Linked DNA regions of Saccharomyces cerevisiae S288C. Each later gene encodes a partner of the first gene's protein in a complex. Each region holds a gene or a part of one and is shown on either strand. Other genes may lie near its edges. A codon is read from its position in the direction of its gene.

Region 1 (6,027 bases):
AGCAGCTACGTTTGCGAGTGCATAGGAGTTATTTGGACAGTTTGACACCTTTAAATGGCGTGTACGGGTATCCATGTTTGTCATATCTGGTGGAGTATGATTTGCAGCAGCTTTTCCAAAACCAGGTATCTTGAACATACTCAATTTATAAAGGCTGAATATACGGTACTATTTGCTCTTATCTTTGAGAGAAACAACGGTAGTACTTAAAGGCTACGAATAAGCCAATTTCATGAATCTCGAAATTTGGTACGCCTAACGTATAGTGTGATACCGAATTAACCCATGGGAAATACCTTTTTTTAGTGACGCTACGCTTGTGTAAAGAGAAAAAAATACTAGGTGACATTTTAGAGAGGGTACTGCAGAAGTATAAAGCGTACTCTGAGTATTAAAGTGCATTGAATTGGAATCCTACATCAACTACAAGTAAATAGTACAACCTTTATAAGCAAATGTATTTAATTAAAGATAAAATATTCAACTATTTAGCGCGCTCATTATTGATTAAGGCGAGGAAGGCTCAAGCTAAATGAACTATTGCTGCCCATATTGGTATCATCAAAAGCATCATCCATATCCAAAGGATCTAAAGGTTGAGGCGTTCGCAAAAATAAGGAAGAATCTCCATCATTTTCTGCACCCACTTTGGCGTTTACAGTTGTTGTTGGATCCGCTTTTACGTCGTTTTCCAAGTCTTCTTCTGGAAGTATAAACGCGCTTGCGATCGGTTTCTTTTTGTATGTGGTACTTATCTTACCAGTAGGAGGTAATCTTGCCTTCGTTGCGGTTTTCTTTGAGACAAACTGATCCTCTTCTAGTAAAGCGAAAGAATTGTCTTCTGTGGAAGTCATTGAGGTTTTATCATTTGCAGATGACTTGCTTTGCTTTGCTATATAGGCCTTGGAACGTTCATAATCTTTTTGTAATAGGGGAAGTAGAGTATTCCAGAATGAACCAGCATCCAGCATACCTTTTGTAATTTTCTTATACACAATGCTGTCTGATTCTTCCGGTTGGATCTTTTTGGCCTGCACTTTGGTTTCCCCGTCAACAGTTTGAAACTGAGTAGTCAGTAACTGTAATGGAACAGATGAACTCAAAACTCCAAACTCCTTTTCTAATCCAAGCTCTCTAAAACCAAAGAAGTCTTCACCAGTCAATTCGCTGGCAAAGTCACCTGTAAAAAAGCTTTGGCTCTCGTCTTCAAAGTTTCTCTCGGACAACTCCTGCAAAGTTGGCCTTAATAAGGCTCTCAAAAAGCTTTCTAGTTTCTGTTTGATGTCCTGAAGTTTCTTAGTTTTTTTACCAAATTCAGATTCAACATAGGAAAATAGATCGTCTGGCCTGTTGATACCGTTTTCCAACAGTGTTGTTTGCAGCATTTCCACATTTGTTCCTCTATTTAAGGAGTTAGTTTCATGATGAAGCTTCAAAGTCTTTATCAGATTAGATAGGTAATCCCCGGCGATTTCAGTAAGCATGTTTATTGCTGATGGATGGGCAGTTTCAAACCCATTGGCCATAGCAACCTTAGATATGTTCTTATGCATGAATTTCCATATCAGCTCCCTGTTGTTTTTGTAATCATGCGTTGGAAGCTGTGACACCGGATCAATATCGAGTGAGTCATCAATAATAGTGTAATTATAAATGTGGTTGTTAAGGAAAGCGTTGGGATTGCTTCTGGAGTTTTGAGCCGATAAAGGGCTCTGTAACATTCTGATCAGGGATATTTTATGGCATATGTGCCTAATTTGCTGAATCAGTGTGATATTTTGGTTCATTTTAGGTGTTAGTCCTAAATCCTTGTTAGCCAGAAATCTGCTTTGTTTGTTGATACCATTTTGAAGCATGCGGTCCACGGAAGCGTCTTCCATCTTGTCTAATGTTTTAGTATTTACTCCCTCGTATACTATGTCAGGAATGGCGTTACTAATATCATATTCCTGTAGGAATCTGGTATCATCTAACTCAATATCATTGGGTTGCTTTTCAAAAGCTTCATTTCCATTTAAAGAGTGATCATTATGAAACTGCAATTGGTCATCGTCTTCCTGTTTTAGTACTGTTCCAAAGCCATTTTTCATAATGGAATTTTGCTCTATTTTTTGACGATATGATTCTAAAGCTTTCTGCTCTTTATATTCAAGAAAAAGCTGGTCGAACCTTTTCATTCTTTGTGGGTTTTTCAAAAACGCCTCTGAATCACTATTTAATTTTCCATTTTTAAAATATTCAGTTCTTTTTAAGCAAATTTCCGCACGAACTTTGGCAGTTACAGTTTTCCACACGGATATTTCCAAATCGTCTCTATCGTCATCCTTTTCAAGTAAATAAGATTGGGAGTCGACCATGTCTTCGTCTTCATCTTCGTCATCATCATCCTCTTCCTCTTCATTATTTTCCCCAGCCTCCTTATTTTCTGCAGTTTTATCTTGTAGTCCGTCTTCCGTATCCTTTTTGGCAGCATCAGCATCTTTTGATGAATCCTCAGTCTTACTACTTTCCTCAACCATATCTTGCTCTTCATTTTTCCCATTTTCTTTTATTTCGTTCTTATTTACATTTTCGTGTACCGTTACAGTAGATGAAGCAGTTTTATCTTTCTCTTTTTCCCCCTCAGGGATGACAGAAGTTAGTTTGTCATCATTGGTTGGTGCTTCATCCTTGACGGTTTTAGAGCTATCTTTTTCTGACACCTTGCCATTCTCTTTGGCCAACATATGAGCTCCCATATTCAATCCTTTTCTTCCAGAACCAGCAACTTCCTCTTCCTCATCTAATTCGTAGTCTTTGTCTTTTTCCATATCTTCAATTTCCTTTTCTAAATCAGCCCTGTTTCGGATTGTGATATTTGGAATCATGCGAATCAACTGAAGAGATTTCTTCTGCATAGCAATAGCATGCCCTCTCAAAAAATGTGAAGGATCTGAATTATAGGTCAAACAATTTTTCCATATTAGCATAATATCGTCTACAAATTCTTGTTTGGAGTCATATTGAAAGCTTTTCAGTTTTTTTAAAACAGTATTCAGGTCCATGGACTTTTTGATGATTTGATGATAATTGGGGGCTTCTCTTTTGCTCACTTTATTCAGAAATGGTGTAGAATGCTCAGTGTAGTTTCTAAGTTCCAAAACAACCTTTTCACAGGCTTCGTATAATTCCTCTTGCCCAATTCTTTCATCCGATGTCCATTTTGACCGATTTTTTCTGACATCCATAATCAGATGTTTTAATTCGTAATCTGATATTCCTAATTGGGATTTTTTTTGCTGGATAGATGATAGAAGGTGCTTTAATGATAAATTTTCGATGCCTAGATTGACTGTTAAATCTAAATTACTTTGTTTGGGGCGCTTGTTCCCAGTATCGCTGAATGTTGAACCTTCAGGAGTGGGCAATTTTTGATTAGTATCTGGCTCATCATTTGTATTTTCGCGATCTTGTTCATCGGTAGCTGCTTCTAAATCACTTCGACTTCGTTTCTTCTTTCCTTTCTCTATCATTTTATCGCTTTCTTCAAGTTTTAATCGCTTTATCATAGTTTCTTTATCGTATTCAAAACTGTGGTAAATTTTGTTCCAATTTCCCATAATTTCTTCTACATTATTTGTTTTTAACTTTGACAGTGTTTCTTTTGATATTGAGATATTTAGCACCAAGCGTCGTTCATCGTCAATTTCGATATTAGAAGAGGAAATAGAATCGAGATTTTTTGGAGGATCATCGACATTTTTTACGTCTGTACTGTCTTCATCATAGTTCTCGTCTTCATCGTCGTAATCTTCATCCTCGGCGAACTTCGAAATACCTTCTTTGTTTTGTGGCTTCTCATTTTTACCAATTTCCTCTTCCTCCTTCTCTTCAACATCTAATAGGGTGTATTCTGTATCATTTTCATCACCAAACTCATTACGATCACAGTATATATAATCTATGGCGCACTGCCACAAGACGTATCTGATTTTCAAGGATAAGTTTCCAATAAACCTTGTTCCGCTTATTTGCTGCTTCAAGTCCTCTAGATCTAATTTGAATAAGTCTTCTTCAACATTATCACTTTCGTCATTATTCACAAAATTATCTTCATTTGCTATTGCGTTATCGCCTTTATCTTCAATTTCATTTTCAACATGATTTTCATTGCTGATACTGGTGTTGGTATTAGTATTGTTATTGTCCTTAATTGTTTGTGATGATACATCATCTGATCGTGTGTCAACGGCAGGAGAGACCGCTCCGTGATGTTCTTCTTCTTGGGTTAATGGAAATGATTTTTCGACATTTAATGCTATGTTTCCCTTTAAGAAATAGTCCCATGCTTTCAGTTTGTCTTCTTCACTTGAAATCGACAGCAGGTATTCAAGAACGACCAATTGCTGAGAGGTTAAATAGAGATCAAAAAAGTTCTTGTTAAAAAGTTTTTCAGTCAATTTAAGTAAAGCTTTGGCATTTGTTCTTTGATAATTCTTTATTGGTATTCTTTCAGTCATTATTCAGACTTAATTTCTTTGTAGTGTTACAGTTTAAAGAGTAACCAACAATTTTCACTGATCCGAAGTTCAATCTGAAAAAAGGAAAGATCTTATTGTTTGACTTGCTAAATAAATAAAAGATGTATTTTGCCAACTTCTCCAATGATCTTTTTTCCTTTGTACATCTAACATAATTGAAGACTTACGAGTGTACATTCACTTTTCATTACTTGGATCTGAAATATTAGAAAGTTACCCGTACCATCAAGAATATAATCGCAGCCCTAATAATTATTCACTGGAGTTAGTCCCAACAAGCATTCCTGTAGAGATTTATTTCAGTTAAAGCTGGCCAGCATTTGACCAATTTTCCTATATGTACAATAAAAGAGCATAAGGTTTCAGTGGGGTATTTTACCTTTAAAAAAATTTCGTCTTTATTCTAAAAAGCCAATTGAAATATGCTAACTTTCATTTAATATATCCTTGCATTGGTATTTATACAGATATATTACAGATATAAGTCTTTAATACAAGCCGACACCAAAAACAAATGAATTGTCATACAAGAATAATACTGGAAGCACATCCATCTTTAGAGGAAACATGTTTTCGTTATTTCATAAAACCTTCAACAAATAGTAGCTCGCGTGGCGTAATGGCAACGCGTCTGACTTCTAATCAGAAGATTATGGGTTCGACCCCCATCGTGAGTGCTTTGTTTCTTCCGTGATAGTTTAATGGTCAGAATGGGCGCTTGTCGCGTGCCAGATCGGGGTTCAATTCCCCGTCGCGGAGATTTTTTTGGCTACTCCTGCAGTTATTCTTCTGCCTCCTTAGTACAGTGTAATGCTCCTCAGAATTTTTGCCAAACAGAGAACCAGTCATTGATCGTTGATTACATATACTAGCTATGCGTTGAACTTCAAAAATTTAAATAGGCTTCACCCCAGAAATGATGTTAATGACAATAGTAATTAACCTACAGATAGACTAGAAATGAAAAAGGTACGGTTAACGTTGACGCTCCCTCGACAAGTTAGGTCAAATATGAACCACAACTGAAATATATGCGGGATATACCCGCGCTTGCGTGCATGTAACTAAGCAAAAATTCTCCATACTGTTCGAGGAAAAAAATGTTCATGAATCTCCCCTGAATAAATTAAATTAAGGTTTACGATTCGAGTTGTTTGGAAAAAAAAAAAAAGGTTCCCCTGTACTGTTGCCAACAATAGTCTTATATCTTATATCAGTAAATCTATGTTATTAGAGATAGAATATACATATATTTTATTGTATTCTTTCTTAAATACATTGTATCTAATATTCTTTTCATCGTCCAATCCCATATAAATCTTGCTTCTCTTTTTCAGCTGAGTAAGGACTTCTGTTTATACAGCGTATTTCTTTGTCCATTCTCTGGCTGTAGCTTCGTACTTGGGTCTGTCAGTCTTGTAGATATGAGCGATTTCTGGTACTAAAGGATCGTCAGGATTAGCGTCTGTTAACAAAGAACAGATGGATAATAGGACCTTCGATAGAG
Region 2 (3,777 bases), on another chromosome or scaffold:
ATACGCCTACATGAACGTGTAGACTCTGAGGAAAACGTACAAGTTCAAGCCACTCCTGCTGTGAAAAAAAGAACTGTGACACCTAATAAAAAGGCGCAACTTCAAAGCATCATTGAATCGCCGCTAAATTTCAAGGATGATGATACGCATGAAGGCAGAAAAAATACCTCCAATATTACCTCTACTCCCACTAATAAGCCCCCGGAAAATAGCTCAAAAAGGAGAGTAAGAAGACGTTTATTTGCTCCAGAATCCACATAGAATAAGAAACTGCGAGACCACCTTCGCTGGCAAGTAGTTGACCCAACTCCATCTTTGTAGCTTTTCTTGGACGAAAAGGGAATAAAATAAAACTAAGCTACAACAATTTCGCACTTCGGGGGCCTTTGAGTATACAATTAAATAACTCATCATGCATATATATATATATACATACAATGGCGTATGTAAAAACTGTTATATAACATTACCGTTGTACTATTAGTATAAACCGATTCTCACTATTCGCCAAAAAATATCGCACTAATTAATTCTTTTGCGTCGTCTCTTTTCAAAATGTGAAATCCAATAGTGACACCACACCTCTCTAGCAATTTTTCCTTATCCTCATCCGTAACTTTTTCACCTTTACCCTCGTACAAATCTGGTAAATCCTTTTTTAGAACTAACAATGCACTAATTACAGTATCAACCAAGATTTGAGTTTCTTCTTTAGTAAATTTGGTCCTAGTTGGATTGGAGTCATCGTTCAAATGTTCCTCTATATTGTCTAGAGTTATTCCGCTTTCATTGAATACCAAGCGCGCCCAATTATTTAGGTTTCCTAAGAAGAATCTGATGGATTCACCTTCTAGTACCGATACACCCTTTAAGCACCCATAGTAAGTCCCAAAAACACGGTTTATGTCCAAAAATGTCTTTAGCAGTGTCCTAGTTACTCTTGGCTTCAGGGATTTGTATGCTTGAGGAAATTTTTTCAATACATAGTCCAACAAAGATGCGGCAAAATCACGTAGTGCATTCGTTCTTTCTAAAAATTCATGAATTTCTTGCGGCGAATCATCTTTTGGTGATCCACCAAGTTTTTTTGCTAATAGCAAGGTTAAAATGGAAGGCATTAACGAATGAATATAAGGGTCCAGGAAAATAGAAGTATTGCTTAGTAAAGAGTAAATCATTTCCAAAATTGTTGTTAGCAATTGTAAATCGGAAAGATTTTGTGTGATTTGTTCGGCAATAAATTGAATAAAATATGGAACCAGTTGGTGCAGGCCACTATCAGTTCGTAGTGAAGTCAAAGCTGCTTGTTTCATATGCTGTGCAGCTTCATCAGCTTGACTCTTCGCTGTCAAGGTTGAAATGACCTTATTGAAATAAATCTGTAATTCTTTGGATAAAACGTGTTTCACTAAAGGTTTGACTTCAGTATTCTGTCCTGGTTTAACATTAGACAGGTGTTGAGAGGCGCCTGTATCCGTCACAGAAGCACTTGCTGTCGTCGACGTTACAGGTGTTTGGAGGCTGTTATCATTCAAAGCAGTGACAATAGCACCTCTAATAAATGGTGGTTGGGATACCCTTATATCATTCAAATTTGGATTTTGGATTATGGCAGGTTGAACCCCTTCAACTGCTAGCCAATGTGTAGTAAAAGTTGGTAGACGAGGCACTTGCGGTAATGGCTCATTTATTAATCTATCAAAATCTACTTCTTCCTCATCCAGGTAGTAAACCGACTGTCCTCCACTTGTGTTAACCTTACTAAATGATACAGCTTTATTAACTTCAGAGCCATCATAATATCCATATAAAGGTTCCACATTCAGAACACGCAGGGCCTTCGATACATCGTCTGTAGTTAAAACATCTCTTTTAGAGTGTCTTTTAAACTTGACTGCCTGTTCAATAATCTCTAGAATACGGTATTCAACGTCCATAGCAAGTGCTTTCAACACGTCATCGTTGATATTTTCCAACCCAAGCGACTCAGCGACATCTTTAACAGTATCTTGTGGAGACCAAATTGTGTAAGATTGCTGCTGTGTAGACATTTTAACAGGCTATCAACTACACTGAGGCGTCCTTTGCTTCCTTTTTAAAGCCAATCTATTGTTTTCGCTCATGAACTACTTTTGCTGCTACTTGAATCGGTGTTTGTTATTGATGGTTTCCGGGTATTTTTTTGGTAATAAAATAAAGCTGAAAAATTTTGTAAAGCGATGCCCAATCTCGAAGCCTCACTTCAATGAACATAATACAGAGAAAATTTAACCATAAATAGGCCCAGCTTCGATCGTAAAATGAGGTTACTAGTCAGCTGTGTGGATAGTGGATCCATAAAGGAAGTTTTGTGTAACATCGGGACTGACACTTCCGTACAATCAGCACTGCAGCCTTTTCATGTGGCACCTCATCTAGCCGAAGGATTGAAAGCTTACGTTGACAGGATGTGGGTGATATCCGAAGATGAAGCCATCTTAGCAAGGAATTCAGGGGTCGTCGAACTTGTAAAGATTTCGAAACACCTTAAAGAAAATGAAGCTCTCCAGGTCGATCCCAAAGGAGAAAGCAAAAATGAAAAGAGCCTTTCCGATGATCTACCCAAATTTGACATATCCGAGTTTGAGATAACCAGCTCAGTTTCAGACCTTTTTGATGATGCCAAATTGGAATCACTTTCAAGTAAATCTGTTAAAAGAACCAAGTTGGTGGATGGTTTTGTCACATTATGTCCCATAAAAAAGGATTCGTCGAATAACACATTCGTAGCTGCTACCAAATCGGGATTATTACATATTATAAAAAAAGGAGAAGATAAAAAGTTAATAAAACTAGCATCCCTTGGACTGAAAGCACCAGTAGAATTTCTTCAGTTATATGATCTAGAAGATACCGATACTGATAAATATATATTTGCATACGGAGGGGAGGAGAATTTAATAAAATTAGTGGAAATAGATTCGAGTTTCCAATCTTTAAAGCAAATTTGGGAAGCCAAGAATGTTAAAAACGACAGGTTGGATATGAGAGTCCCAGTATGGCCCATGGCCCTAAGATTTTTGGAGCCCTCCCCTGGTAAAACTGAAAAGGGTAAGCTGAACTACCAGTTTGCAGCCATAACCCGTTGGTCCCACCTCACCAAATACAGCACACAACATGGCAGAAAACCGTTCGCTCAGATAGATTTATTACCTAACCGTGAACCATTATCTCAGATGGAAGTTTTTGATGCCAAGGGAGAAAATGTTGTCTCTTCGTTGGGGAATTTTCAATCTGAAACCTTTAATGAACTGAATGTGATTACTACTGACTACAAAAAGAATGTTTTTAAATTCGATGGTAATGGAAGAATGTTGGGCAAGGTGGGTAGAGATGATATCACTGGTTCGTCAACCTATATTCATGTACATGACGGCAAATATCTTTTACAAGGTGGTTTAGATAGGTATGTTCGGATCTTCGATATAAAAACTAACAAAATGCTGGTGAAGGTTTATGTTGGGTCCCGTATAAATTTTATTGTTATGCTGGATGACGTTGAAATCGAGATGCCACTAAGTCCAAGTGCGAAAGCTGCCAAAGGGAAGCAAAAAAGGAAGGTTACAGAACTTGAAGAAGACGCAGATGAGCTTTGGAATAAATTGGAGGGAAAGGTAGCTGCTTCTAAAGCCAGTAAGAAAAGCAAAATTTAATAGTAAAGGACGCTAATTGAAGGCAAAGTTTTACTAGTCGGCGGGAAAAATTATTAAAAAAAGCACTTCCTGAACGCGACGCTGA
Region 3 (3,182 bases), on another chromosome or scaffold:
TTGAATTGATTTTTTGGCCTTGTTAACTTGAAAGGATAATTGATCTCGGTGGAAGTTAAACCTAGAATACAATTCATTTAATTTCTTTTTCAAGTGCTGCCATTGAAGTTCTATATTTTCTTTCCAAACAGCGTTATTAGGTGTCCGTATTTCATTTTTATTAGTGCTGCCTTTATCAGGAGTATCACCGTTCTGTAGAGAATATGAACTATAATGAAATGGCCTGGTGAAAGATGACGCCCTCAACATTAATTTGTTAATGCTGAATACTAAGGGTAAGTTTCTTGTCGCCCCATAGTATCTCAACATCACGCAATTTTTTAATCACTGAGTTCACCCGTTACAATTTCACAACGAAAAAGACCCCAATGATCAGATAGTCCTCTTTATAACGCGTATCTACGTACATAATCTTTATTTGTATTTTTCAATTCATTTGGCTCACATTTATCATACCAGAAGGAAACCCATGCACCTCCATGATGAAATTATACAAAAATTTACATGATAATTGGTTTAGAACTGAGTCTACCACCTTTAAAGTTGGTCAAAGCCCTATGCCTCATGTCAATTGTTTGTAGTACTCTCCAGGCTTCCTCTATATGCCTTGGTTTGAGCGGGTTTATAACATTTTCAGGTCCATCAAATAATCTTTTCTTTCTATGTAATGTGGATGATGCAAATTCAAAGTTAGTATTATCTTGGCTAGATTGCTGGGATTTGTCCTTTTGAGTCTGTAATACCTGTTCTCTTTGTTTGATTTTCAGAGCTGTTTCCGTCAAAGAACAGACAATCTCAAAAGTTAGAAACCCCAGTATATCAATCACATCATCATGGGGTTTCCCCTCAGTTAATTGCGAAATTCCAGACCAGTCCTTGAACCTTTTATTCTTCCTAAATGTAAAACTTGCCTGTCGACAATCGGACCAATGCACGTACTCCTCTTTAGTCATGTTTCGTGTTCTATCGTCAGCCATTTTCAGCCTTTTCAAAGTGACTATATTAGCTTCTCGTTCATCCTCATCCATATCATCATTGTCGTCATTATTTTCTAAAGGATGTTCATTGAACATAAACTGCAATTCCCATGGCAGCTTAATTTGGGATTTCTTGACCTTCATCATGTTTCCACCATCTTTTTCGTCTTTCTCGCCACCACCTGCTTTTTTCAAATCATCTTCACCACCTGCCCCAGGATTTCCAGTGCCACTCGCTACACCGGCACTAGCATCTTGGTCCTTGGCGTTTTTACGCAAATCCTTCCATGACAGATATGTTCTCAAACGATTGACTTTGGCCTTGTCGTGTCTGATCAAGAAAATGACGTCTTCAGGGAGAATGCTCCTACTTCCCCTAAGATGCGCCGTTTTGTTTGACTGTAAAAGAATTTCTATCACTTGACCCCTCACTATATCTTCTATCAGTGATGTGGTTTCTACGGGTGGGTCGTTAATTTCACCAGAGACAAACATCATCTGTTGAATCTCCACACGATACTTATGCTTGTCCATCATTCCTGCCCTAATCTCTTGAATTTTGGCACGGTACCTTGTATGCACTCTTCCCCGGGTTCAGAGTGTCTTCAACCTTACTTTTTACTTTTCGTTTCCGCCGATCTATATTACATGGTTCGGATTTTCTTCTTTTCTGTGCGCTGCGCTTGAAGCCTCAAGAAAGGGCAGCTTTGAACAAGACGTTCTTGCGATAGAGATGAATGAGAATGCATTGAACGCAATGTATACCTATTTTGGCGGCATAAAAAACTTGTTTTCGAGATTGCAGTTGAATCTGAATGTAGCGAGGAGACGAACAAAAAATTGGAGTTCCTACTGTATTGCAAAGAAACTAAGAGACGCCCGCTAATGCTGCCGGAAATGTACGGTGATCTCTTAAAGTTGATTGACCGATAACGCAAAAATAATGCAGCAAACTGTAGATAACTCTTTTTTATCGTAATATTTCTATTAGTATCCAGATATTTCACTCCAAATCACAGCAGACGTTGGTGTGAACGGCATCAGAGTCCCAGGGGCTGAGATAAGTGAAAAAAATGAAATGCCGCCGGCGTATATATAACAGTTATTGTACCTGATATTATGCCAAGTCACTCACTAATCTCGAGAAAATAATTCTAAGACATGTAACCGAACATCATGTCCTTCGAGAACAAACTGCCAACTCCATTAGAAAACAACGATGCTAAGGGCCATATGGTCTGTACCCTGAACAAGACTACGGATGCCAGAAGAGCAGCAGAGACTTTGTCTATTGCTTTTAGTAACTCGCCAGCGTTTCATTTTATCTGCAAGAAAATCTTAAATATTCCTCTAGCTGAGAAGGTGCCTACAAGGACAATAACCACCGATATCATATCGCCATTCCTGGATTCACCTTATGGTGAGATCTCCGAAGTTAATACTTTCGATGCTGTTGCAGTGTGGAGTCTTCCACCTCACGTTCCGAAGGCAAGGAGTAATGATGCAAAGTTCAACAAGGACTTTATTGACGATTTAAATGCTCGCGTAAAGCAAGTCATTCCAAATGGCATCAATTACTACTATCTTTTCTGTATTGGTAAGAACTTAAATGAGAAAGGAATCAGAGGTTCTGTAAGGACTATTTTTGAAGAGTACAAAAGGAGAGCAGACGAAGAAAATTGCGCCATTGTCCTTGAAGCTATTGCCGAGCATGCTAAATCTGTGTACGAATATTTTGGATTTAGAAATTACATGACGTTCAAATACGGTGAGTGTGAGGTCGACTCTAACGGCAATTGCGATCCGAATGGTGAAGGGTTCACAGCCTATTTAATGATATATCATAAGGACGGTAATAAAGTCTTAAAAGAGTAGTTTTTGAGCTTTTTCTTTCCCCCCTTCAAGTAATTATTTAGAATAAAAAGTAGTGTTTAAAGACGACATTTTGGAGCATGCACTGTATAACCAGGTTCAAAAAAATTTCGCCTGCTATTGTTTTCTTTATTTTGAAGATGTGAGAAAAGTCTCATATCTAGTGAGCTTCAGTCTGTTTTTAGATGTAGTTAGCAATTACTATTTTAGGTATTTCTTTGCGCGGTTACGGTCTCAAGAATTTATATTACCACAAAACCTATGTAAGCTAGATCTTCTTAGCGAAAGTGGTTCAGTGGTTAGAATTCATGCTTCCCAAGCATGGGGCCCGGG

The links. The genes of interacting proteins can lie anywhere in the genome.
Region 2: the proteins of SPT7 (region 1) and TAF6 are in contact, whole or in part, in a cryo-EM structure (PDB 6T9I), measured with the Saccharomyces cerevisiae proteins. Residues at the interface, in NP_009637.1 of Saccharomyces cerevisiae: Arg168 (codon at 3,998), Gly171 (codon at 3,989), Asn172 (codon at 3,986), Leu175 (codon at 3,977), Lys176 (codon at 3,974), Arg178 (codon at 3,968), Tyr179 (codon at 3,965), Trp182 (codon at 3,956), Gln183 (codon at 3,953), Ala185 (codon at 3,947), Ile186 (codon at 3,944), Asp728 (codon at 2,318), Asp731 (codon at 2,309), Ile734 (codon at 2,300), Lys751 (codon at 2,249), Arg752 (codon at 2,246), Thr753 (codon at 2,243), Glu754 (codon at 2,240), Leu849 (codon at 1,955), Glu851 (codon at 1,949), Tyr852 (codon at 1,946), Ile854 (codon at 1,940), Ser855 (codon at 1,937), Asn856 (codon at 1,934), Ala857 (codon at 1,931), Ile858 (codon at 1,928), Pro859 (codon at 1,925), Asp860 (codon at 1,922), Ile861 (codon at 1,919), Val862 (codon at 1,916); in NP_011403.1 of Saccharomyces cerevisiae: Asp67 (codon at 1,853), Arg74 (codon at 1,832), Tyr82 (codon at 1,808), Gly83 (codon at 1,805), Tyr84 (codon at 1,802), Tyr85 (codon at 1,799), Asp86 (codon at 1,796), Gly87 (codon at 1,793), Ser88 (codon at 1,790), Glu89 (codon at 1,787), Glu112 (codon at 1,718), Glu113 (codon at 1,715), Glu114 (codon at 1,712), Val115 (codon at 1,709), Asp116 (codon at 1,706), Phe117 (codon at 1,703), Asp118 (codon at 1,700), Leu120 (codon at 1,694), Ile121 (codon at 1,691), Asn122 (codon at 1,688), Glu123 (codon at 1,685), Pro124 (codon at 1,682), Leu125 (codon at 1,679), Pro126 (codon at 1,676), Gln127 (codon at 1,673), Val128 (codon at 1,670), Pro129 (codon at 1,667), Arg130 (codon at 1,664), Leu131 (codon at 1,661), Thr133 (codon at 1,655).
Region 3: the proteins of SPT7 (region 1) and SPT3 are in contact, whole or in part, in a cryo-EM structure (PDB 6T9K), measured with the Saccharomyces cerevisiae proteins. Residues at the interface, in NP_009637.1 of Saccharomyces cerevisiae: Ile912 (codon at 1,766), Ile915 (codon at 1,757), Arg916 (codon at 1,754), Cys919 (codon at 1,745), His920 (codon at 1,742), Ile922 (codon at 1,736), Gly995 (codon at 1,517), Glu997 (codon at 1,511), Ile1010 (codon at 1,472), Tyr1014 (codon at 1,460), Asn1017 (codon at 1,451), Lys1020 (codon at 1,442), Thr1021 (codon at 1,439), Leu1045 (codon at 1,367), Glu1046 (codon at 1,364), Asn1047 (codon at 1,361), Gly1048 (codon at 1,358), Asn1050 (codon at 1,352), Lys1066 (codon at 1,304), Lys1069 (codon at 1,295), Leu1070 (codon at 1,292), Ile1073 (codon at 1,283), Lys1076 (codon at 1,274), Leu1077 (codon at 1,271), Phe1080 (codon at 1,262); in NP_010680.1 of Saccharomyces cerevisiae: Leu145 (codon at 1,082), Gln146 (codon at 1,079), Met148 (codon at 1,073), Phe149 (codon at 1,070), Asn150 (codon at 1,067), Glu151 (codon at 1,064), His152 (codon at 1,061), Pro153 (codon at 1,058), Leu154 (codon at 1,055), Asp316 (codon at 569), Met317 (codon at 566), Arg318 (codon at 563), Ala321 (codon at 554), Leu322 (codon at 551), Asn324 (codon at 545), Phe325 (codon at 542).

The regions. Positions count from the first base shown.
Region 1 is NC_001134.8:400,753-406,779, forward strand, and holds SPT7 (SAGA histone acetyltransferase complex subunit SPT7), read right to left. Parts: upstream 4,500-6,027; coding exon 501-4,499; downstream 1-500. Other genes in the region: AAA family ATPase SEC18, read right to left, coding at 1-138; E2 ubiquitin-conjugating protein UBC4, read right to left, coding at 5,876-6,027. UniProt on the Saccharomyces cerevisiae protein: Component of the transcription coactivator SAGA complex. SAGA acts as a general cofactor required for essentially all RNA polymerase II transcription. At the promoters, SAGA is required for transcription pre-initiation complex (PIC) recruitment.
Region 2 is NC_001139.9:297,678-301,454, forward strand, and holds TAF6 (TATA-binding protein-associated factor TAF6), read right to left. Parts: upstream 2,052-3,777; coding exon 501-2,051; downstream 1-500. Other genes in the region: SLD3 (Sld3p), read left to right, coding at 1-261; ribosome biosynthesis protein NSA1, read left to right, coding at 2,301-3,692.
Region 3 is NC_001136.10:1,257,028-1,260,209, reverse strand, and holds SPT3 (transcriptional regulator SPT3), read right to left. Parts: upstream 1,515-3,182; coding exon 501-1,514; downstream 1-500. Other genes in the region: SHE9 (She9p), read right to left, coding at 1-309; IAT4 (Iat4p), read left to right, coding at 2,154-2,852. UniProt on the Saccharomyces cerevisiae protein: Component of the transcription coactivator SAGA complex. SAGA acts as a general cofactor required for essentially all RNA polymerase II transcription. At the promoters, SAGA is required for transcription pre-initiation complex (PIC) recruitment.